Linked DNA regions of Lonchura striata. The protein of the gene in region 1 interacts with the protein of each later gene in a pairwise test. Links are inferred from orthologs where the notes say so. Each region holds a gene or a part of one and is shown in the gene's direction. Other genes may lie near its edges. The genes, in order: RBPMS, MGAT5B and QKI.

Region 1 (7,704 bases):
AAGCTGACAGAGTAGAAGAATCCTAATCCTAAGCAGTCTCAAATTTCTGACAGTCCAGCTCAGCTGGATGGGATATTTGTGGCTTCAGTCTGTCACGAAGTTGAGCTGCCCCACAGAGCACTGTCATCATGATCTCAGATGTGGAAATCTGTTCTTCCCTCTTGCAGGTACCCAGAAAATATAACCCCAGAGAGCGAAGATGTGGAGCCCAAGCCCATGGTCATTGGCACCAACAATGTTTTTGAGGTCGGGTGCTGTATCCTCGCTGTGCAGTGACAAACCATCCAGCACACTGTGCTTCTGGATCCCTCCAGGGGGAGGCATCTCTGGGGATCTGTCAGGGTTCAGATAGCTCAGGGCTGGGTGGTGGTTTGAAAATGGCATCAGGGTTTTTCATCTGCTGAAAATAAGCAAAGCATTTTACAGTTTTACTTAACACAGACCTGTAGATTCCCAAGCGATGAAGGTAGGAGACAACAACGTCATTGAATCCAAAGGTAATTCTCAGCTTGGGGCCTTTGGCCCTGCTGAGATTCTTCTCCTATAAATGCTGTGGGAACAGCTCTCACAGGGACTCCTCTCTCTCCCTTCTCCCTGGCAGCGTTTGTTGGCAGGAACGTGATCCTGACGAGCGGCTGCATCATCGGGGCCTGCTGCAACGTGAACACCTACGAGGTGATCCCGGAGAACACCGTCATCTACGGGGCCGACTGCCTGCGGCGCGTGCAGACCGAGCGGCCACAGGTGCGTGGGGACACGCTGCCACCTCCTGTCCCCTCGGCCTGCTACCCTCTGGCTGTTCCCTCACCTCCCCTGCCTCCCTTTCCAGCCCCAGACGCTGCAGCTGGATTTCCTGATGAAGATCCTGCCCAACTACCACCACCTGAAGAAGACCATGAAGGCCGCGTCCACCCCTGTCAAGAGCTGAGCACTCACCTCATGCTGCCCGTGCCCAGCTGGGTGTTTGGTCCTGGGAAGCACTACACACTCCGGGAAGAGTCCGGTCGCCACATCCCTCATTCCATCAAACCATTTCTTCCTTGTTTGTGTCATTTCTTTTTCTTCCACTGGGATTCTCAGACCTGCTTCGAGTCTGTCGTCGCTCACGCGTTAGCTCTATTGTTTGTGCTTTTTTTCGGGAATAAAATGCCTCCAGTTCTGCTGTCCGAGGGAACCGCAGCCCTTTGAGTGTGCGGGGTGCGGTGCCCGGGTCGCACGGGCGCTGTCGGGGCGGGTGTCACCGCCGGGGACAGCCCGGTGCCACCTCCCCGCGCCGCCCCGTCGCGCCGGCAGGGGGCGGTGTGACCCCGCGCTCCCCGGGGGTCCCGGCCCCGCGTCCCGGATCCACGCGGGCCCCGGGGTGGGAAACACAGGTGGACATCCATGCAGCAGAAATTCCTGTAGGGAAGAGGGGATAGGATCAGCAGCTAACACAGAGAAACCCAGACTTCTGTGGGACATGAGGCTTTGGGTTCAGGTCGGGGGGTTCAAGGCAGGGAAGCGGGGCAATATCTGCTGGAGCAAATTGGATTTTCTCCCCAAGTCCAGCTTCATGGCTACAAAAAATCCAAACCTCCCCTTTTTCTGATTTGTGATTCCAACCTGGGTTCCAGCGCTGCTGGGCAGCTGCAGCTCTTCCCCAGAGCTGAGTCCAAATAAGGGTTGTGAGTATTGTCCCGTGCACTGTCCAAGCAGAGATTTTTGTCTAGATGCCTGTGGATGGGGAAAACAAAGAGATAAAACACATCTCTAAATTTCCCCCCTGCTGAAAATCTACCCCAAAAGCCAGAGGTTCCAGCAGATTTGGGTGACTAGATCAGTCCCTGTGCTCTAGATTCCCTCTAGGCTCAGCTGCCTTGTAGCCAGACACTTCCCGCTTCCCCAAATCCAGCTGGCACAGCTCATTTTCACCTCCTTCTGTCCTTTGAATCGCTGCCGCGGGGATGATGCAAACCTGTGGGTGGCCAGGCTGTGTCCCCTGGGCAGCCGGCAGGACAGACGGGCACCTGCCCCCAGGTCTGTTTCGGCTGGTGAGGCGCAGAAAGGCAGGCGGTGACCTTAAGGGCCCGTTGGGAAGGAGCCCTGTGCCCCGGGCAGGATGTCCTCGGCGTCACCTCCGGCCGAGCGCTGTGCCCGGGCAGCACCTGGGCTGACACAGCTGCTGCTCTCCACCCCGAGGGTCACAGCCGCCTCCCCGGGGCTCTGCAGGGCTGGAACGACCCAACACCGAGCTCTAGAACGAAGCGTACACGATGCCAGGTCCAGCGCAGGCTCAGCAAAAGCCTAGCCTAAGCATGAAGCCTAAGTGCAGTCCCCGGGCTGGGCAGGGAGGGGTTGAGCCCCCAGGTGGGGCCGGTTGGGGTGATGAGCTCCCGCTGGTCCTTCCACTGCCCCCAGCCCTGCACCGGGTCCCCTCCTCTGCCCCACAGCCGTAACACGTTCATGTCCCTGGGTCTGTGCACCATGTCCCCAACGTGCTGTCCTGTATCCTTAACCTTGCGTCCTGTGTCCCCAGCCTTGTCCCGTGTCCCCAGGACTGTGTCCCGTCTGCCCAGCCCTGTCCTACACCCCCAGCCCGTGTCCCATGTCCCTGAGACTGTGTCCATCTCCCCATTCTTGTGCCCCATGTCCCCAGCCTTGTATCCGGTATCCCCTACGTCCTAGACTGTCTTCTATGTCTCCAGGACTGCCCTGAATTCCCAACTCCGTGTCCTGTGGCCCCACATGGCACTGTGTCCCATGTCCCTAGCCCTGTGTCCCGCGTTCGCATCGCCCACCTCCCGTATCCCGGCGCTCCTCCATCCCCCCGCGGCCCGGTCCGTCCCCGCCGCTCCGCCGCGCCCCCGCCCCGTCCCTCCCCGGCCGCGCCGCCCCGCCCCGGCCCCCCCGCCGCCGCCGGGACCAGCCCCCAGCACCGCCCGCCCGGACGCGGCTGCCGCCGGCGGGACGAGGAGCCTGGCCGGTCGCACCATGAGCAGCGTCCCCGCCGACAGGGAGGGCGGCCCCGCCGACACCAGCCTGCCCGAGGAAGAGGTACCGGGGGGGACACGCACCGGGGATTTGGGGCGGAGGGGCTCCGGCTTCCCCCTCCCCACCCGCGATCCCCGGGAGCTGCGCTCCGCGGGTGCTCACGCACCGGGCTCCCGGTACCCGGGGCTGCTGCGGGGGGGACAGGGACGAGCGGCGGGAGCGCATCCCCGCTCCCCGGGACTCTCCCGTTCACCGCCGGCATCCCCCTGGGGCTCGCCGCAAACGCCCCTCCGCCTCGCCGGAGGAAACCTGCGGGCGCGGGGAGCCCCACGCGTGACACGGATCGCCCCGGGGGGCGTGAGGGATAAATCAGGCACTCCCCGGTCCCGCTGCCGGTGCCTGGTGCTGCCGGTGCCCGTGGGTACTGTGCATCCAGCGGCTGTGAATCTCTTTCCCATGAGTCTCACCCCAAAAATATCCGAAACGCTCCCATCCCCACGGGAGACCAACCCCACACCCCGTCACGGTGAGTGCTGGTTTGCTTCATTCCAGCCGCAAAGTTCCTGGTTTTGCCCGTGACCTTGAGATGGGAATTTGGACTTTGCCAGGGTGAGAGCGGGAAGATTCCGATCGGAGATCTCCTCCTCCTTACCCTCCACCCGGCTGGGCTGCTCCAGCAGGTCCCTGCTGGGCTCCCTGGTTGGTGGCCAACGCTGGGATCAATCACCGCAGTTCCATCGCCCGCTGCCGCCTGCCTTCATTTGCTTATTCCAGAGGTGGTTCTGGCTTCAAACTTCCCAAAGTTTCCTAAAAAACGTGGAGTTTTTTTCCACTGGTGGCCTGGCGGACTGTGTGGGAGATGATGCTGCGGCTCTGGTGGGCATGGCATGGGTGACACCCATGGAGGCCTGTTGCCTTTTCCAAAAGCATGGCCTTTTCCAAACCCATGCCGGCAAAAGGCAGCCCTCGCTCTGCTCCCGGCCAGATCCGCAGGGCCGGGGGCTGACTGTCGCCCAGGGGAACCCCCTGACCCGGTGATGCCGGACATGGGGAACACCCGGACGGGACGGCTGGGAGGTGCCAGGGACACGCACAGAGCCGAGGACACACGAGGAGGGCGATGCCCGCTCCTGCCTGCAAGCCGCGCTGCTCCGGTGCCAGGCAGGTATTTTCCTGGCAGGACTTGTTCCAGCCCAGGCTGGAGAAGCCGGTGCTGTCTATTTGCTCAAGCGCAGGGAAAGGGGTTACTCAGCTACTGTGGTGCCTCACCTCCCCACTCCCAGGGCTTGCCTGCAGCCTCCTGTTCCCTCAGAAAAGAGGGAGAAGCAGCCCCCATGCCGGGGAGGTCAGTCGGGGTGCTGCCAGGTGGGAAAAGCCCCCGCTTCATGCCCGCTCCTCCCGCCTGCTCCTGGCGCCCGGGTGGCTTCCCCGTCCCTCTCGCCTGTCCCCCCCGGGAAGGACACCCCCCGTGCAGGGGAGCTGTGGGCCAGGGGCTTCCCCACGTAGGAGCCAGAACAATTTGGGAAGGCGGTCACGTCACTTTGGCCGGGCGAGAACGGCATGTAAAAGGCTCGGCGGAGGCCTTATTTGGTAGCGGAGTGGCTGCGGAGAGCCCGGCTCGTGGCCCTCGTCCCCATCCCATGCCAGATCCCTCATCCCGGGGGAGCCGTGCCATGGGGAGGGGACCCCAGGGATGCTTTCTAGGGGGAACGTGTCCAGCGAGTGGATAAAATCTGTCCCCGTGGCCCCTGCGTTGCATCCCCCCGCGCTCCTGCTTCCTTTCCTCCTTGAAGCGTGGGGTCCGGAGGGTTTGGGAGCAAGCTCCAGGCGGGACAGGGACGAGTGTGACCCGCGCCTGATCCCGCCGCTCCTCCGCTCTGTTGCAATCCCCCATCTGCTCCCTTGGCTGCTCACTGCCTTTTCCTCTGCCGCTTCCTCGTTCCAGCCCCGGCAGCTCTGGACTCGCTTTTCCCCAAGGGCTGTTCCTCTCCTCCCGTCCTTCACCGGACGTGCGAGAACCGTGATTTTCCAGCAGAGCGGCTGCGGGTGGCGAGGCCGGAGATCTAGCCCGGTCCTCCCGTATCTCCCGGGCGGAGAAGCCGGCATCCCTCGGCCTCAGCCTTGTTTATGTCGGGGAGTTTTGCGGGCTGAAGGCATGCGTACACACAGCCCGGGAATCTAAACCCAGCCGAGGAAGACGCTGCATTAGCCAAGAGATTATTTATGCCTGGACTAATCCCGGCGGGGTGGGGATGCACCCCGCTTTGCCGGGAACGGGAGGGGAAGCCCTGCTCACACGGAGGGTTGCACGGCTCGGTGGCAGCCCCGTGCCATCGCCCTCCCGCTGCCGCCGGGATCCGGTGCCTCCCCGGCGGCGGGCAGTCAAGCGGATAATCGGCTGGTGGAGAATTAAAGCGAGCCCCGCTGGAAGGGGCGCACGGAAGGACGGACGAGGGATGGGAGCTGGGCTGAAGGAGGCGATTAAATGCCTCGTGGATGAATCACCCGGACGCCTCCCGCCTTCCCAGGGCCTGTTTAACGTTTACCGGGGGTGGTTTGGGCAGGACAGGGCGGGACAGGACAGGACAGAGGACCGGGACCATGCTGGCAGGACACTGCCACTGGGGCACCCGGCATCCCTCCGGGCACTGCCGTGTGATGGGGGTCCAAGCCAAGCAAATGCCCCCCCGGTACCTCCTTACCTGCAGGAGACAAACCTGGTAAGCTTGTGGCTTCATGTGAGGAAGAGGAGGAGGAGGGCTTCCATCACGGACCTCTCCATGCTGGGGTCATCCTTGATCCATGCTCTGGAAACCCCGGTCACCTCCTGGCCCAGATCTTTGCCTCTCCTGGCATGTCCTCAGCACTGACCATCTCGGCAAACCTCCACAGAGCCTTTCCAGTATCCCTTAAACTGGCCCAAGACAAGATGCAGGATTTCAGGGACAAAAGACTGGGATGGTGGGATGCAAAGGTGAGTGGGACAGGCCAGAAGGGGGATGGTGATGATTTCCAGGGAAGAGGAGAGTAGCACAGAAGAGCAGACTTCCTGCAGCGAAAACAAAAGCCAGGAGGGGACACATCAGAAGTGAGGCAATACATGTAGGATCCAGGAACCCTGGCAAATCTGGGAGCTGTGGGGTGCAGCAGCAGGAGCCCAGGAGGACTATGGAAAAGGGACTTGGAGCATTCCCATAGCTGCCATCCCCATGGAAGGAAGTCAAGGTGGTCACCTTTGAGCTCCTCCTGGAGCAAATATTGGCACTTATGGCTTTTAAAAAAGTCTTTGGTTTCATCCCAAATTTAAGGGAGAAGGAGAAACGGAGAAATGCTCCACCAAATAGAAACTGAAAGATGTTTGTACAGCAGAACTGAAACAGCTCAGGATGTCCAAAAAGACTGTGGGGTTTAAGCTGGGGGAATCCCATGCTCCAGCGCCCTTTAATCCTTGCTCGAGAGCTGTCAGTCTGGCCCTGTCCCATGACATCCTTGGGAGTAGGCGTTGTGCCTTATCCAACTCTCTGAAGGAGTAATTCTTCCCTATGGGAGAACATATATGTGCCTGCTGCCTGAAATTTTTCTGATAATGCTTTTCGTTTTTCCTGCTTCAGGGAAGGATTTTGCTCTAGGAGTGTTTCTGGTAGAGGATGGGGACTGAATCCCTGGGATCTCTCAGCACAAAAAAACCTGGAGCAGCTCCCTGCGGGCCAAAGCTCCCCTTCCATTTAAGGGCAGGAGTAATATTTCTGTCTAGAATCTTTCCCTTGGCAAAATCTGTCCAGCCTGCTGGGATTATCCCCAAGGATGCTCCCTTGCTCTGCCAGTCCCACTGGCTCATTACCCAGTGAAAGGATGCTGATTATATAGGACCTACTCCAGCATCCCTGGGGCTGTGTGCATTTGCGGGATGCAGATGGGGAGCACCCAGGAGCTCGTATCCATCCCTTGCCCTGGGCCCCAAAAACCCTTTTGGGGCTGGAATGCAGCTGGGGGATCCTTTGGAGCCCTTCTCCTCTTGCCGCTGTATAATTTTACGGATTCGAACTTGGCCGACCCGCGTTTGAACTTGCAAAGAAAACAAAGTCATTAAAGAAGAGAAGCCCTTCCTCTGTGGGGCTGAATTTCGGAGGCTTCCTTGGGATCTTTCATATCTGTCTCTCTCCCATGTGGCTTTGGGGACAAATGGTCTGGCAGGCTTGGGCACGCACAGTTTGGATTTCAGGGATGCGCACGGTTTGGATTTCAGGGATGCGGCAAACTGGCAGCAGCTTTCCCCACTCCCCCCAGTCCCTCCCACTGGAGGTCCCTAGTGTTTCCTGAGGCTCCCCAGGGAGAGGAGAGGCAGGAAGCCAGGGATGGCTCCAGGGATGAGGGAGGCAGGGGACACCGTGCAGGGATGCTCGGCCTGCTCAGGATGTAAACCCACCTGGGAGGGTGGATGTGTCTGGAGAGCCGATTCCCTGGGCAGCAGCCGTGCTCAGGAGAAACTGTCTGACAGCCAGTATTTTTAACCTAGGAAAGGAAAAGTTTGCTTTCTTTAGACTGAATTTCATGGACACAAGGGGAGATCCTCCAGGTGAATCCCCCCATAGCCCCTGCCAGGAGAAATTCGGGCAATGTCTCCACTGGGGGACGGGGCAGCACTGAACGCTGTGGGATGCTCCACCACTCCCTGGTCTCAGCAGACAGGCAGAAAGCTGGCAGGGGTCCCCTAAAGAGTTTGGGGGGATGGTC
Region 2 (7,704 bases), on another chromosome or scaffold:
CTCACAAATTTGCCCTAAACCAGAGCACTAGGCCAGTGGTGCAGGGCAAGTCCCATCTCCCAGAGGATGCTCTGGTGTTGGAGCTGGAATTTTGGCCCTGTCCCAATTACAGGCAGAGGGGAGGAGCAGCCTGGAGCCTGCTCTGAGGATGCTGCATGTCTGCCTCTGGCTGGCCAGGGGCTCTAATTGGTGCCAAACTTATTTCTTTTGGGCCACCTGGCTGCTGAGTTGGTTCTCTCCATTCCCTGCTGCTGCTGAATTTGGAATAACAAACAAAAGTGCGTGTGTGTGTGTGTGTGTGTGTGTGTGCAGTATAAGTTCAGCATATTGATTTTTGAGGCTATTGCTTCTCAGCTGCCGAAGAAGATAATTCACTGCTTTATTACCATCCTTGGATTTTAGATTTATCCCTCTAAACAGACAGTGAGCTGGTAGTTAATTAAGCTTTTGTTTCAAGCAGCAGCAGAGGGAAAGGACTGGCTGCTGCAGCTCTTCTCCTCAGGGATGAGGGCCCTGGGGGGTGGGGAATGCCACATTCCCATCCCTGGGGTGATGGATCCTGCATGGCTGATTCCGGTGGGAACTGGGAACTGCAGAAGTTGTTCCCTGCTGAACCCAGCGCCCTGCCAGCATCTGCATGGAGATTGACAAGAGCATATTTCTATATTTTATTTTATTTTATATTTTATTTTATTTTAATTTCCTGGTCAGTGCTGCAGGAGGCACCTGGGGGAAGCCAAGATGGCTGAGCTGCCTTCTGCCTGCCCAAAAAACATCCAAACCCTTTGGGGGTGTTTTCCAGCCCAGGATCAGCTCTGGAAAGAGGAGTGGGAGGACACCATCCCTTCTCCCCTCAGTGTCACCCACCCCTAATTCTTAAATAATTAATGTGTGGTGCTTCACCACTCCCCAGGATTTTCCTGCTGGGCAGAGCTGGATTGGCACAATCCAGAGTTTGTGGGATGCACAGAAGGACCTTGGCATTATCCTTATGGAGGTCAGAGGGTCCCACCCCACAGAACTGAGCCCACATCAGCTCTGGTCCCCTCTGGGATGTTCCCTGTCCCTCCCAGGCTCTCAGGAAGGCACATCTGGATCCTGGCACATGCCAGGCTGCTCCACCACCCACTCCATGCAGCGTTTTTGTGCTCTAGGAAAGTTTCCAGCCCCACAGAGCTGAGCTGATTTGGAAAGCAGTTCTTGGAATGAAGGGCTCTGCCTCCTGCTGCCGGCTGGAGCCGGGCTCTGGAGGGCAGCACCACATTTTGAGGTGGTTTCATAGCTCAGGTGAGCACCGAGAATTCCTGTCAGGAGCTAGGAATGGAGTGAGAAGGCAGGAAATCAGGGTAGCAGCATCCCCACAGCACCTGCACTTCACTCCTTGCCCAATGGGCAGTGAAGAACTCCAGGTGGCTTTTCCAGAGGTGCTCCCAGCTGCACTTAAATTAGCAGGGACTGAGCACCCAGCTGGTGTCTGGGCTCTGCCCGTGCCTGGTTGTGTCCACAAGGTCCCCACAGGATGGGCTCCAGGGAAGGGTGTCCTTGCCAAGATGAACTGAGGGTTTGGCTTGGCAGGGCTGGCTGCTGCTCCTGAGCCACACTTCCTGCAAATCCTCAGCCTGTGCATCCCTCTGCATCCTGCTGGGATCCCACCCAGCCCTGGTGTGGCAATGACTCCTTCCTGCCCACAAAACACGTGGATGAACACAAAAACCCTCCTGCGTTTCAGAGGTCCTGGAGAATACGGTTTTACCTCTCACTTCTGCTTGAAAAAAAAAAAAAGCTGTTTTATGGGGGAAAAAAAATCTGGTTTGGGGTAAATTTCCAGCTGCTATCCCTGAGCTCACTCGTGGCTGGTGCTGTTGCAGCTTTATGCTCCCTGGAGCTTTGCTGACCAAGGCCATTCCTGGTTTCCACTGGGGAGAAGGAAGCAGTGTGAGCATCTGGAGTGGCCATGGAAATGCAGTATCACAGCAGCATTTCCACCTCCTCAGCCCCACGGAAAACCCTGGGATTATGCACAAGCAGGGTCAGTTTGTAGAGGAGTGGGTGGCTGGTGCTGGGAGGGCATTGGAATTGCTCAGCACTCGAGGTGCAGATCACTAAGCCAGGCCAGGCAGGTGGGGCTGGAGGGAGTTTTCTCTCTCTGGAGGAAAATGGGATGGAGAAAGGCTGGGAAAAACCATGGGAAGAGAGCATCCCACTGTGGGGAAGGCAAAGGGACAGCTGTGCCCTGGTGTCACCCTGTGCTTTACGGTACCCATGGTGGTATCCAGAGCAAAGAGGGACAGCCAGCCATGAGGGCAGTGTGGCATGAGGGGGCTCTGCTGGCACCACAGCCCCCAGACCACAGCCTGGCCCTGTCCTGTAGCCTGGCCGGGGGGGGACAATGTTGTCCTGTGCTCACCCCAGGGTGCTGCATCCTTCCCTCACCCCCAGTGGGGTGCACCCATCCTGGCTGGGGCTGGAAATGGGGCGTCTCTGGGCTCTGTGCACACTTGGCTCCTTTAAGTCCCAACTTTTGGGAGGCTTTTTGTGCTTGTCACCTTCCACAGGAGAGCCGGGAACACCTCTGCTGAGCTCAGCACTGCTTCTCCTGCCTCAGCTCTCACGTCCCTTTGCCCTCCCAAGGACACGGCCCTGGTCCTCTTGGCAGCACCCTGCACCACCCGGGGGGACTTTGGGGAGCCACATGGTGGCTGTCACCGTGCACCCAGAGAGAAAACAGCGATGGGGCCGCAGAGCTGCATCCTGCTGCTGTCGAGAGACTCCAGACCCGCCTTTCCCCACTAGGGAGGTTTGTCCTGCTCCTAAACACCCCCTACAAATCAAACAGCACCCGGGCACGGCGCTCGGTGGCATTTCTGCTCTGACTGCCCCGCCAAAGGACCATCCCTGCCTCCCGAGGTGCCCACGCCGGGGCTGTCAGCTGCGCGGGGATGCTGCCCAAAACGCCATCCCCTGACCTCGGGGGGAGGCTGCCGCAGCCCCACATCCCCTGCCCCTGCCCGACCGCCCCTCTGCGGGCCGGGTTGCCGCTAGATGGCAAGCGGAGCCCGGCGGAGCCCGGCGGAGGCTCCGCGGGGCGGAGCGGAGCCGCAGCGCGGGGTGCGCGGAGCCGAGCGGAGCCGAGCGGAGCCGAGCGGGCCCGGCCATGGGCTGGGGCGGCAGCGGGCAGGGGCGAGGGTAGGGCTGGGGGGCCGCGTCCCCCCGGAGCCCCGCGCAGCCCCGCGCCCCGCCCGCCGAGCCCCGCTCGCCGCCGCCCTCGCTGCCGCTGGGGCGGTGCGGGGCCGCCCCCTGCCCGCAACTTCGAACGATGATCACTGTCAACGCGGATGGCAAGATAATGGTCAGAAGATGCCTCGTCACCTTGAGACCCTTTAGGTAAAGTTGGTGCTCGCTTCTGGCCGCCGCCGCCTCGCCCGGCTGCTGCGGGCGGGGGCTGCGGCTGGCCGGGCTCGGGCTCCGTGTGCGGTGTGGGGTGTGCGGATGGAGCCCGGATGGGCATGGCAGCGAGCCGGGCTGGGACCGGGCTGGGACCGGGCAGGGATGCGGGCAGGGACTGGGCAGGGACTGGGCAGGGACCGGGCAGGGACCGGGCAGGGATGAGGGCAGGGACCGGGCAGGGAACGGGCAGGGATGCGGGCAGGGACTGGGCAGGGACTGGGCAGGGACCGGGCAGGGATCCGGACAGGGACCGGTCTGGGACTGGGCAGGGATCCGGGCAGGGACCGGGCAGGGACCGGGCAGGGATGAGGGCAGGGACCGGGCAGGGAACGGGCAGGGATGAGGGCAGGGACCGGGCAGGGACTGGGCAGGGACCGGGCAGGGACTGGGCAGGGATCCGGGCAGGGACCGGGCAGGGATGAGGGCAGGGACCGGGCAGAGATCCCGGCAGGGATGCAGGCAGAGATCCGGGCAGGGACTGGGCAGGGACCGCACAGGGACCGGGCAGGGACCGGGCAGAGATCCCGGCAGGGATGAGGGCGGGGATTCGGGCAGAGACCGGGCAGGGATGAGGGCAGGGACCGGGCAGGGACCGGGCAGGGATCCGAGCAGGGATCCGGACAGGGATCCGGACAGGGACTGGTCTGGGACTGGGCAGGGATCCGGGCAGCGATATGGACAGCAATCCGGGCAGGATGCGGGCAGGGATCCGGGCAGGGATCCGAGCAGGGATCCAGGCAGGGATCCAGGCAGGGATCCGAGCAGGGATCCGAGCAGGGTTCCGGGCAGAGATCCGAGCAGGGATCCAGGCAGGGATCCGGACAGGGATCCAGGCAGGGATCCGAGCAGGGATCCGGACAGGGATCCAGGCAGGTCTGCCCGCGGGGCAGCGTGCGGCTCCTGCAGCTCCCGCTGCCTGCCAGCTCCCGGTTCGCCCCGCCGCCGGAGGTGTCTCTGGGGTTATCGCCGGGCTGCTCGCCGCTGGATTTTTTGAGAATGGTTCTAGGAGATGTTGGTACTCCGGGGGAATTAGGTTCCTCTGGTTTAAGCCTGCTGGTGCAGCTGGGGATTTCGAAACCCACCTTGAGCTGGCAGTGGGGCTGGGGTGGATGTCCAAACCTGAACCCCTCCGGCTCCAGCACACCCGTACCCACCCATTGCTTTTTCCCCTTGCTGTAACTCCCCATTTTTGCTTCCATACATTCCCTTCCCTCTCCAGCCCCTGCTCTCCGGCTTCCTTGATTTACTGGAGATGAGCTTCTGTTGCTCCCGAGCTTGAGACACACGGGAGATGTTGGAAGTTACCTGGTTTTTCCGTGGGGAGAGGGACCAAAACCCCTTAGAGATAGAGGCGAACGTGCCGGGGGACGGAGCTCAAGGTGGGGCGAGCCCAGCCCAGCGGTTTCCAGCGCTCCTCGCTGTGTTTGGAGCTCTGGGGTCACCGCAGGGATCTGCTCGCTGCCTTTTTGCTTAGCCCGGGCTACCCCCGGCTGGGTTTGCGCCGCTCGCTCGCTCTCAGGTGTGGGCAGCTTGTCTGCCTCTCCTCGGGAGCTGCTTGCCTCTGCTTGCCTGGAGCGATTTCTGCTGCCTGCGGCTGGGGAACTTGGCCGAGGGGATGCCACAAAGCGCTGGCAGAGGTGTGAGGGCTCCCAGAGCTCAGGAGTGGAGCAGGGAGTGATGCGAGGGACGCGAGAAGGGCGCACTCACCCGGGGAATGCTCTTTGCCTGGCTGTTTGCTCTCTTCACTGGCTTTGAATTGCACAGTGAGGAAGCGACTGGCTGGAGCATCCCTGTGCCCTGGGCATCACCCCTGAGGCAGGGGAGCCCCGTGTCCAGCAGTGACCTGGAGTCAGGGTGGGAGAGCACAGGGTGATCACAAACTCCCATTAGGGATGGGGATGTGTGTGGATGAGGGGTTTGTGATGGCTGGATGGTCTCTGGAGTCCAGGTGGAGAACTTGCACTGTCCTGGCCGTGTGCCCTGGGCTGGCTTCTGCTGTCCAACCAGTCCAGACCAGTATTGGTGCCACTGGAACCAGCAGGGTTACCTCGTTGTTAACAGCCAGGCTCTCTCTGCAAGAGGAGGAATTCCCAAGACCCTTTCCTTACTGTCCCACAGTGTCCAGGACCTCTGCACCTCCTCCCTGCTGCTGTCATGCTGCATGTGACCCCCCATGCCACAGTCCTGTGTCACCTTGCTGCCAGCCCTGCGTGGGTGAGTGCTGGCACTGCCCAGCTCCAGCCTTAACCCAGTGCAAATCACCTCTTCTCCCCCAGCATCAGCACCCCGCATCCTCGGCTGCTGTGGGTCAGGGATAACTCCAGCAGTGGGAGAAGGTCCTGGCACTCAGGCTGGGTCCTGTAAATCCTCCCCTGCTGCTGGCTGGGCAAAGCCTCGCTGCCCGTGGTGCGATCCCTGCCTGATGTGGATTGCTGCCATCAGAGGTGAGGTGCCATCAGCAAACAGCACACAGGAAACCTGATCCTGTGCACCAAAACATTTCATTAACCACCCTCCAGACACGCTGAGCAAAGCAATGCAGGGCCCTGAGCTGGGAGGGAGGCTGCAGAGAGGGAGCAGATCGGTCTGGAAAAGCACAGGAATGTCCAAGGGCGGCTCTGACTTCATCCCAGCAGCAAAGAGTGTCTCGCTTGCCGTGGTGCTGGATGCAGGCAAGAATTCACCGAGGAGCCCTGCTCCAGCTCGCCCAGCTCTGGGCTCTGTGGGTGTGTTTGCCAGCTGGGAGCCAAAGCCAGGCTTTCTGTGGGATGTAACAGAGGTCAGTGAGAGTTCACTCTGGTCCCTGCATGGATCACAGTGCCCGTGGCTCAGCACCGGTCTGACAGCACCACAGCCCTGTGGGGCTCTAAGCAAAAAGGGATTTAAGGAGAGGAGTCGTTCATTAACATGACCTCTGCTGGTAGGAATGGTGGCTCAGCTTTTGGGAGTTGAAGATTTGTCTGATAAAAGATGTTACCTGGCTCTTGGTTTCCCCCCCTCACCTGGGTGGGATTCTCCCTGTGGGTCCCAGCTGGGTGATGTGACACCATGGGCACAGTCCCAGTGTCACATTCCCAGTGTCACAGTCCCATCCTGCTGGGTGCTGCTGGCCTTCCTCCCCCCACCACATGCCAGCTCAGCACTCAGACCCTCCTGGTCACATCCAGCTTTCAGTTCCACGGGCCAAAATCCTCCATGACTGGGGCATCACTTCCAATTTTCATTTAAGACTTGAGGAATTTCACTTTTTTTTTTCTTTTGGGCACCAAGCCAGAGCCCAGAACTATGAACATTTCAGTTTGGGGAGGATGTGGAGAGGGACTTGACACCAGAACTGTGTCCGAGTGATTAATTAAACATGACATGGGATGACAGGCAAAGCCAGTATGCAGGATAGGTGTTATTTGGTCCTTGGAACTCCAGAGTCTTCAGGGAGTTAGGTTTGATTTTGGGAGAGAGGACCATCTGGGATCTGTTATGTTTTACCTACTTTGTGGTAAATTTATTTTCTGTATAAGGAGTTTCCACTCAGGTGAGTCTGGGCCAGGCACTTTTATTCACCTGGAGAACATCAGCAAAAGTAAGGGAGTTGGGGTTCTCAGGCTGAGAGTCCAGCCCTGCACCATCCCTGCTCCCTGGAGCACTGCTCTGGGCTGGATCCACTGATCCCCCAAAGACAGCAATTCCAGTAAGGCTCCAATTCATCTTTTTTTTTATTATTCTTTTTTTTTTAGGAAAAAAGCATCTTGCATCTCCCCTACTCTCTCTGTAATCCAGTCAAAATGAAAAAGGTTTTGTTTCCTAGGGAGATGGTAGAGCACAGATCACCTTTGTATCTTTTTTCTTCCCTTCCCCTTTTTCTTTCTGCTCAGTGCTTAACGATCCCTCCTTGCCAGACTATAATTATGAAGATTAAAAAGCGTCAACAAGGTCTTGCATAATGATGAAGATATTGTCAATAGGAGGTGTGAGAGCAGGATCAGGGCCGAGTATTTATTCAGGTGATGCTTTGTTAAAGTGCCCCTTGGGGGAGGGGGTACCAGGATGGGGCCTTGGGTGGGTTTTGTAGCAGATGTGCTCCCAGGGAGGACCCTGGGGTGCAGGACCTGCCTGGGCTTTGTCCCCTTTCAGCTTGTTTCCTCTCCAGCCTGCTGCTGTGCTCTCCTGCCAGGGAAGTGCCGTGGCAGACAGCTTTCCCCAAGGGCAAACTCAGCCCTCCAAAGCCAGCTGGGTGCAGCAATCCCTTCCAGGGTGTTC
Region 3 (7,704 bases), on another chromosome or scaffold:
AAAAATTAAGGATGAGAACTTTTCCTGTCATTTATGCCTAATTACACGGGCAGCTTCATCACAAAGCTTTGCCTCCATTTCTGTATTGTTCCAACTGAGAAAATAATTCAGCTTAACAACCGAGCAAACTAGAGCCTGAATTTTGCATTGCACTGGCATGAGTGATTCCACAAGTGTTGGTGTGGACCATCTCAGCTGTCACTAAATAAGCACAAAATACTTTAGGACAAACTATATTGTTCCTATTAGCAGATTACTAGTGTTACTACACAACTTGTGCTGGTATTTCTTACCTTGTATTACCTACGTACATTCAAGCACTAGAAACTCTTTATGTGCAGGAAGCAATAATGAAGTGGTATGGGAACAGCTGCACCAAATCTGCTGAAAAGTCTTCATATGCTATTTTTCCTGTGAGAATCAACAGTCCATAACAATTATTCTAACATCATCTACGTTCATCTAATTTTAAAAGGAAAGCTTGCTCTTCAGCAGATACCCTTAATAAATTGGAAGGATTTGACAGCATGCTTTCTCAGGGTTAAAAAGAGCCTTCACTTACCAGTTAAAAATTAGCAAGCAAAGGAAATGTATCCTTGTCCAGACTGGTCTACAAGAAGCAAAACGATGGCAATTTCATTAAGCACGTAAAGTTGTATTTCAACCTGTCACAACCTTAAAACAAGGTTGGAATAAAGCAAATGCAATCATGTTACCAAATACAAACCACACTGTTTTGTTATCTATACACATACTGCAGTGTGCTATGGGCATGCTATTGATGAACTAAGAATCTATATTTAAAATAATGGTTTGTAACACTGTTACTCTTTGATAACAAGGGTAGTATTTTCTTACTAAAGATACAATTTTTTAAGGATAGAAGCAGTAAAACCGACTTACCTTACATAAGCTGTTAATTTCTACTAATGTAAACAAATCCCTGAAATGACATAAAAACTCCAATGTCCAAACAGAGTTCTATCTACCTTTATAGAGGGGGAATATACAATGAACACTGGACATAATGCAATAATTCAAGGCATTCTTACTGTTAAGAGAACTACACGTTCTCTACATTTTTGTCACATCTTTCAGGAAAAGCAGAGTTAACACTGCTTGACAATACCCAATGACATTGTATACCTGTCAAGATGACGTGTCTCTGTTTCTTTTTAGTTTAGGAAGCATTGTTCATTGCCATTAACCTAACATTGAAAGTATCTTCAAAAACCGTGCAGTATGTATTGAAATGCATTTGAATTTTTTACGGATTTCAAGCAATAGCTAGACTTTATACTTAGTCCTATGAAATATGACTGTTTTCAGCGAGCTACGTGAAGAATGCAGCGATTTTCATCCAGCTTCGTAACAACAGCACTGCCAAGCTACCGCGAACTGCCTCCAAGCTCTTAAGTGCTAAATACCAAGAGCACCGAGTAGCTGCGCGGGGAAGGAGGAATACGTACAAGCAACAGCGTCGCGCTGCTTTGCCTCTGCGGCTACAGTGGATGGAGCACGTGAATTTTGGTTCTGGCTGCTGGACACCGCTGCTCCCGTCACGTCTCCCATCCAAACCCGTCAAACAAGCCACGGCTGATGCCAAAACGCGGCGCTGCCCTACAGGCAACAAGGGCGGCGCGCAGCCCTGCCGGAGAGGCTCGGGCGGAAAGGAGCTCAGCGGGCCGGGATCCGGCCCGGGCTGCCGGCCGGGGCAGGCGCTGCGCACTCGGGGGAAAGGGTCGGCCCTGCCCGCCCGGGGCAGCGCCAGCGCGGACGGACCCCGAACCTCTCCGCACCCCGCCCGCCGATACCCGACGCTCCCGGGACCCCGCGGACGGGGGCTCCCGGCAGCCCCGCTTCTCCCTCCTCGCCCCGGCGAGGAGCCGGTCGGCGGCATGCTGCCGGGGCGTTCCGGCGGCTCCTCCGGGGCTCCGCGCTCCCCGCCCGGCCCCGGGACCGAGCGGGAGCCACTCCTCGCGCCGTCCGCGCCGCCCACCGCCCGCAAGCGCGGCCGCGGTCCCCGCGCACACCTGCCCCCCTCCCCGCCCCGCCGCCACGCGACACCGGGGCCGCGCGCAGCGGCGAGAGCGCGCGCGCCCCGGCGCGGCTCTCCCCGCCCCCGGGGTGCACGTGACGCGTCCCCGCCCCGGAGGTGCCGCGACGCGACTTTGTTTGGGAGAGTTCCGCGCGCGCGCGCGTGTTTCCGCGCGGCGGGGCCGGGCGGGAGCCGCACGGGAAGCCGGCTATCCCCCCGCCGCCGCCCCGGGCCCCTGGAGCGGAAGGGAGGGAAGGAGGGAGGGAGGGACAGCTGTGGCTCCGCCAAGCGGCGCTACCGCCGCCGCCGGGCAGCGCCCGCCCCGCCTCTGGTCCCGCCCCCGGCGTGTCCCACCCCCGTGGGCCCTGCCCCCTCCCCTCCTGCCGCCGCCGCCGCTGCTGCCAGCGCAGCCTGAACTGAAGCGAACTCCGGAGCGAACTGAGGAGAAGTGAGGAGGCGGCGGCGGGGCTGAGACTCAGCAGCCACAGGCGGCGGCGGCAGCAGCGGCAGCAGCAGCAGCAGCGGCGGCGGGAGGGCGGGCGGGCGGGAGGCGGAGAGGAGGAGGAGGACACACGCCAGGCGCAGCGCGGCGGCAACAACAGCAGCAGCGGCGGCAACAGCGGGGAGACACCGGCGGCGGCTCCTCGGAAGCGGCAGCCGCGCCAGCAGCGCCCGCCCGCCCCGCGCGTCCCCTCCCTCCCTCCCCCGCCGCGGAGACAGGGGGCAGCGCCGAGAGGAGAACCGGGCTCGGCGTGTGTGTGCGCGGGAGGAGGAGGAGGAGGAGGGGGGACACACCGAGGACTGCGCCGGCCGAGGGCGCACGGAGCAGGGGAGCGGCGGCGGCACCGAGAGGCGGCGGCGGCGGGTTCTTGTGCCCGGAGAGGAGGGCGCAGCCCGCACGGGGGTTTCTACCGAGTTTCCTTTTTTTTTTTTTTTTTTTTTTTTTTTTTTCCCTTCTCGGTCCCTGGGACTCAGCGGCGGGTCTGCGTTTGTCTCCGGATTTGAATCCTCCTCCTTCTCCTCCTTCCTCGGGGAAGCTCCCCTCCCCGCCCCCTCCCCTCCCCCACCGCCTCCCTGCCCGCCCGGATCCAGCCGGGCGCCCCGTGCCGCGGTCGCGTTGCTCGGCAGAGCTGCTGCGGGCGCTCGCCGTCTCTGCGCGGGCTTGGAATATGGTTGGGGAAATGGAAACCAAGGAGAAGCCGAAGCCGAGCCCCGATTACCTGATGCAGCTGATGAACGACAAGAAGCTGATGAGCAGCCTCCCCAACTTCTGCGGGATCTTCAACCACCTCGAGAGGCTGCTGGACGAAGGTAAAAGCCCTCGCCCGGCCGCCGCCTCCCCCGCCCCGCCGCCTTGCCCTGCCTCCCCCGGCCCGGGGATCCCGCTCGGCCCCCCGCCCCGGCCCGGCCGGGCGGCGGGGACGGCCGGGGCCTGTTCCGCTCTCCCCGCTGCTCCCCGCACGCTCCCGGCCCCGGCTGGGGAGCCGAAAACAAAGGGGAAGTGCGGGCTCTCCCCGCCCTGGCCGCCGCCGCGCGGTGCCGGGGGACTCGGGGAGCGAGTGGGAGGGGAGAGGCAGCCCCGGCCGCGCGGGTCCCCGATCCCCCAGGAGCGCTTTTCCCCTTATTTTTCCTTTTTTTTCTTTTTACCCTTTTCCTCACTATCCCCTTAAACCGGGGGAAGGGTAACTACGGCGCGGAGGGGAGGGAGCGAGGAGAGGAGCTCAGGAATGCGCTCTGGGGGAAGGCAGGGAGGAGGGGAAAGGCTGGCTGGCGGCTGGCGCTCCCCTCCCTGCATCCCTCCCTCCCGCGGCGGCGGGGGACACTGGGGTCCTGCCGGCGCCCTCGGAGCGCTCCGCCGCCCGGCCCCGGGGCCCCCGCCGGGGGGGCGGCGGGTGTTCGGTTTCGAGATTTGGCTGTTCTGGAAGCTGCTTGGACTTGAATGACTAAGGCGGAGGGGGGCTGAGCTCTTTCTTCGGCTCCAGATCTACCCCACCCCGAACTGGCCGCAAACTAATTACGATTTTCCTATATCGCAAGGGAAGCGAGTAAATTCTTCTCTCGGCTATCCTTACCTTTTAAAGAAACTGAACTTGACAGACTCCTTCCTACGTGTGACTTTAGTGAAGAGGGAGAAACAAAAAGGATTACGAAATTGCCTGGTCTGCTCCTGCCAAACGTCCACCCCAGCCTCGCACCCGCTCCTGGCACGGGGCGAGGCCCCCCCTATGCCCCCAGTTTTTCCCTAATAACTTTGTTTGGGGTTAAGATTTCACAAATAAATAGTCACGCTTTAGAAATGAATAAGAAAAGTACGAGCTGGGAACTTCCTGTGTCCCACACGTTTTCCCACTACAGTAACAGACCCACTGTGTATCAAAAATCAGGTGAAACACTTGTTCGTAGTATTTTAAATTCACCTTGTACTCGAGTTCACGGGTTTGTTTTTTTTTGTCGAAGGCATTTCCTTTCCTATGACTTTAAATCTAGGCTTTCTGATGACTTCGACCTGCGTATAATAACTATTTAGTGCATTACAGCAGACCTGTTTGTTTAATCGTATTTGATAGCTTTGTAGAATATGATATGGCCATAAATAATTTATACAGTTTCAACTTGTAGGGATTCTTAGTATGAAGTACTGATTTTCGAGATTTTGAGTTAGGGTTCTTGTTTGCGGATGTATTCATTTTCGCTAAAAGAAGTTTGGGAAGTTGTTGACCTCGGAAGATGAAAGAACTGGTTATATTTGGTAGAACAACTCCCCGCCCTCTGCCAAGACTGCAAAAATGAGATAGCGACTGTAGTGCGACACAAAAATAGCGTGTCGAGAAAATGCTACCTTCTGAAATAAATGATAGAGGAATGTAAAGGAACCCAAAAAAACGATGAAGAACACTCTAATACGGATTGTGGGAAGCATTAAAATGGGAGAGTCTATTTTTATTTTCAAGATACTTGGAGGAGTTTGATTTTATATTGGATCAAATGTGGATGTGAAGAGCAAAACTATTTTAGAACTTACGCTCTTGGTCACCACAGTGAACAACCTCTTCAGAATAGTTAGATTGACAATAAACATCAAGAAGAAACTTGACCGAGAAGACTCCTTTATAGCACAAATGAGCCTTCCAGAGGTTTGGTAATGGATTTTTAAATTGTGAATCTTTTCAACTTAATGTATTTGACCAGAGGAGGCCTGAAGCTGTTTTTTTATTTTCAGAGAACAAAAGGAAGAAAAACATTTCCCGACACAAAAAAAAAAAAAACCACTGAAAAAAGGAATTCCAGAAATACTTATATCTTGTTATATATTTTGAAATACGGAAAACTCTGGAAGTCTGTTTGCAAAGTATTGGAGTTCCAAAATGAGAGCTTTTGTGTCTCTTGCTGACAAAGTTTAAGGACTGTGTTGGAACTGTTCTTCACTCTCTTCTTCTAAAGAAAAGCAAATAAAATATAATCTGTGATCCTAAATGGTCTCTGGAAGAAGCCTGCTATCCCTTTAAGCTTTTCTGCTTTTCCTGTTTACGTTGGCAAATGGGTGGAAGTATTGTGGAGGCAGAAAACTTTTTGGAATGTTGAAAAAAAAGTTTCATGCAAATCTAGTAAATTACTTCAAGACTTCAGAATTTGAACACTAAGGGGCGCCAGTTATTTTTTTTTCTGAGGCGTGAGTCCGCGAGCACCACTATTGACTCGGGCAGTAAAATTATCAAATCTGGTAGAAGACGCCAAAGAATGACAAAATACTTGTGGATTTGTGCAGGTATCTGTATTTGCATGTACCTTGACGTATTGTATACTTACAGGCAGTATTACATAGGTGGAATAGGCAGTAGCAGTGAACAGTTGAGAAGTTGGAACAAGTGTTTCTCTGTAGAACACCTATCCTGGCTACCAGTGGGGGCTGTGTTAAATATCTTGAACTGCATGCTCCACTGACATCCTCCAGCAGAAGGGTTTAGTAATAGTGAACTACAGGTTTGCTGGAAAAGTCTGCAGGATTTCATGTGCTTACTGGAAAGTGTATTATTTCAAGGTTTCATCAGTTGTTTCCTGGCACCCTTGAGAATACCAAGTATTTGGGGCAAGTGCATGTATATATAGGTATATATAATCTAAAAATAAAGTTACAGGGTTCACATTCCCTCTTTGCCCCCTCCACCCTGTCATTTGATTTGCTGCTTCTAGTTTGTTGTTGTGTGCTTTAGGTAGGTGTTTGTTTTTGGGTTTTTTTTAGTTATAATACAACTATTTTCCTAAAGGTTTTGTTTATGCTTGAGAAGAAAATATTATGATCAGCCATTGTCTTTTATTTTGTGTGCTGATCAAAATAAAGAAATAAAGTCACAAGCCTAAGAATTCAAACAAATAAAAGTTAGGATTGCCTTCCCTAATGGAATGCTAGGGTAGTTTTTTTATTATTACTTATTTATTGTTCCATGATACTTATTTACATGTTACACGTTTTATATTTAAAAACAGAACTCAAATGGGCTTTTGCTGTGGTTACGTCTTGTAATTGTATGCAGCAAGAGATAGAAAGAGACCTGTGGTTTTAGGTGAATAGTACATCCAATCTGGTTAAGTTACAGATTTTTGGGTCCATTGCTATGCTGCATGTATTATCGAAAGCATGTTTTCCTTTCTGAACTCTATCTGACTTTTTGATCTCAGAAAATTTTAGTGCTTGATAGATGATCTCTGTCTTGAAGACTACCTTAAATGTAAGAAATGCATTGAGGAAACATTTTTTTTTTTTAAGAACTACTTTCATAAAATGTGAAAGTTGCTGTTTTGTTTAGGTTACATTTATTTTTCCATATGTGTGCTTTTAACTTGTTATGTGTAAATAAGCCTTCTGTGGATTAACAAGGATGTTTAAAGAGCACATCATAATAACTAGGAAGCTGAATTGTTTTTATCAGACTGGTGCAAACCTGTGGGAAGAGAGGGCTTTTCCTGAATGTGGAATAGGCTGTATTTCCTGTAATTGTTTGCTCCATCAAATGTGACCTGTTTTTTTTTTTTTTTAATTTTTTTTTTTTTGCTTAAGTTTTTGAGATACTAACTTTTATGATGCTAACCTGGATTTTCTTTTCTGACAACTTACATATTTTAATGCTCCCTGTCGTGAACAGTGAAAAGAGCAGTACCTGTTTTCTTGCACTGTTTTTAAAAACTGAATTGGACATTTCAAACACTTCAGTAGCATGTTGACAGATTTAAATTAATGAGGTACTTCAGTTGTATTCTTTCATCAGACTATGAACAAATGTGCCTGAACTATTAACTGAGATCTGAGTAGTCTAATTTATAAATTTACATTTTGTTTTCTTGAACCTGTAAGTGCACAGACTCTTGCACCTGATCAGAATGTACACAGATCAGACCTGTGGTCTGAACTGTTTTCAAAAAGAGATTGAAGAGGACTTTATCAGAAATTAATTTTTTCTTAGTAACCTATCCCTGAAAAACTTAGTCTTTCCTTCAAAACTGTGTTGAAGGTGACTTAAATGCATGTCTGCCTTTAAATGTAAATTTAACCATGCATCTGGCTATTGGAGATAAATCTAATTTTGTGTCAAATAGGCTTCCTCTTTCTGTCTACCAAGTTTAACAAAGCTAGCGTAATAACATCCAGGTAGGCAATATGAGGATAAATT

Evidence for each region.
Region 2: the proteins of RBPMS (region 1) and MGAT5B interact in a two-hybrid assay, tested with the Homo sapiens proteins (2 studies listed by BioGRID and IntAct). The two-hybrid records come from large-scale screens. The link is inferred for Lonchura striata from reciprocal best matches to the Homo sapiens genes RBPMS and MGAT5B.
Region 3: the proteins of RBPMS (region 1) and QKI interact in binary tests that used the Homo sapiens proteins (3 or more experiments, as listed by UniProt). The link is inferred for Lonchura striata from reciprocal best matches to the Homo sapiens genes RBPMS and QKI.

The regions. Positions count from the first base shown.
Region 1 is NC_134606.1:72,058,621-72,066,324, forward strand, and holds the start of RBPMS (RNA-binding protein with multiple splicing), read left to right. Parts: upstream 1-2,902; 5' UTR 2,903-2,970; coding exon 2,971-3,033; intron 3,034-7,704. Other genes in the region: DCTN6 (dynactin subunit 6), read left to right, coding at 168-256, 450-497, 602-744, 830-928.
Region 2 is NC_134621.1:3,824,179-3,831,882, reverse strand, and holds the start of MGAT5B (alpha-1,6-mannosylglycoprotein 6-beta-N-acetylglucosaminyltransferase B), read left to right. Parts: upstream 1-3,249; 5' UTR 3,250-3,316; coding exon 3,317-3,384; intron 3,385-7,704. UniProt on the Homo sapiens protein: Glycosyltransferase that acts on alpha-linked mannose of N-glycans and O-mannosyl glycans.
Region 3 is NC_134605.1:37,264,211-37,271,914, forward strand, and holds the start of QKI (KH domain-containing RNA-binding protein QKI), read left to right. Parts: upstream 1-3,100; 5' UTR 3,101-3,207; coding exon 3,208-3,349; intron 3,350-3,940; exon of another isoform or gene 3,941-5,776; coding exon of another isoform or gene 5,777-5,804; intron 5,805-7,704. UniProt on the Homo sapiens protein: RNA reader protein, which recognizes and binds specific RNAs, thereby regulating RNA metabolic processes, such as pre-mRNA splicing, circular RNA (circRNA) formation, mRNA export, mRNA stability and/or translation.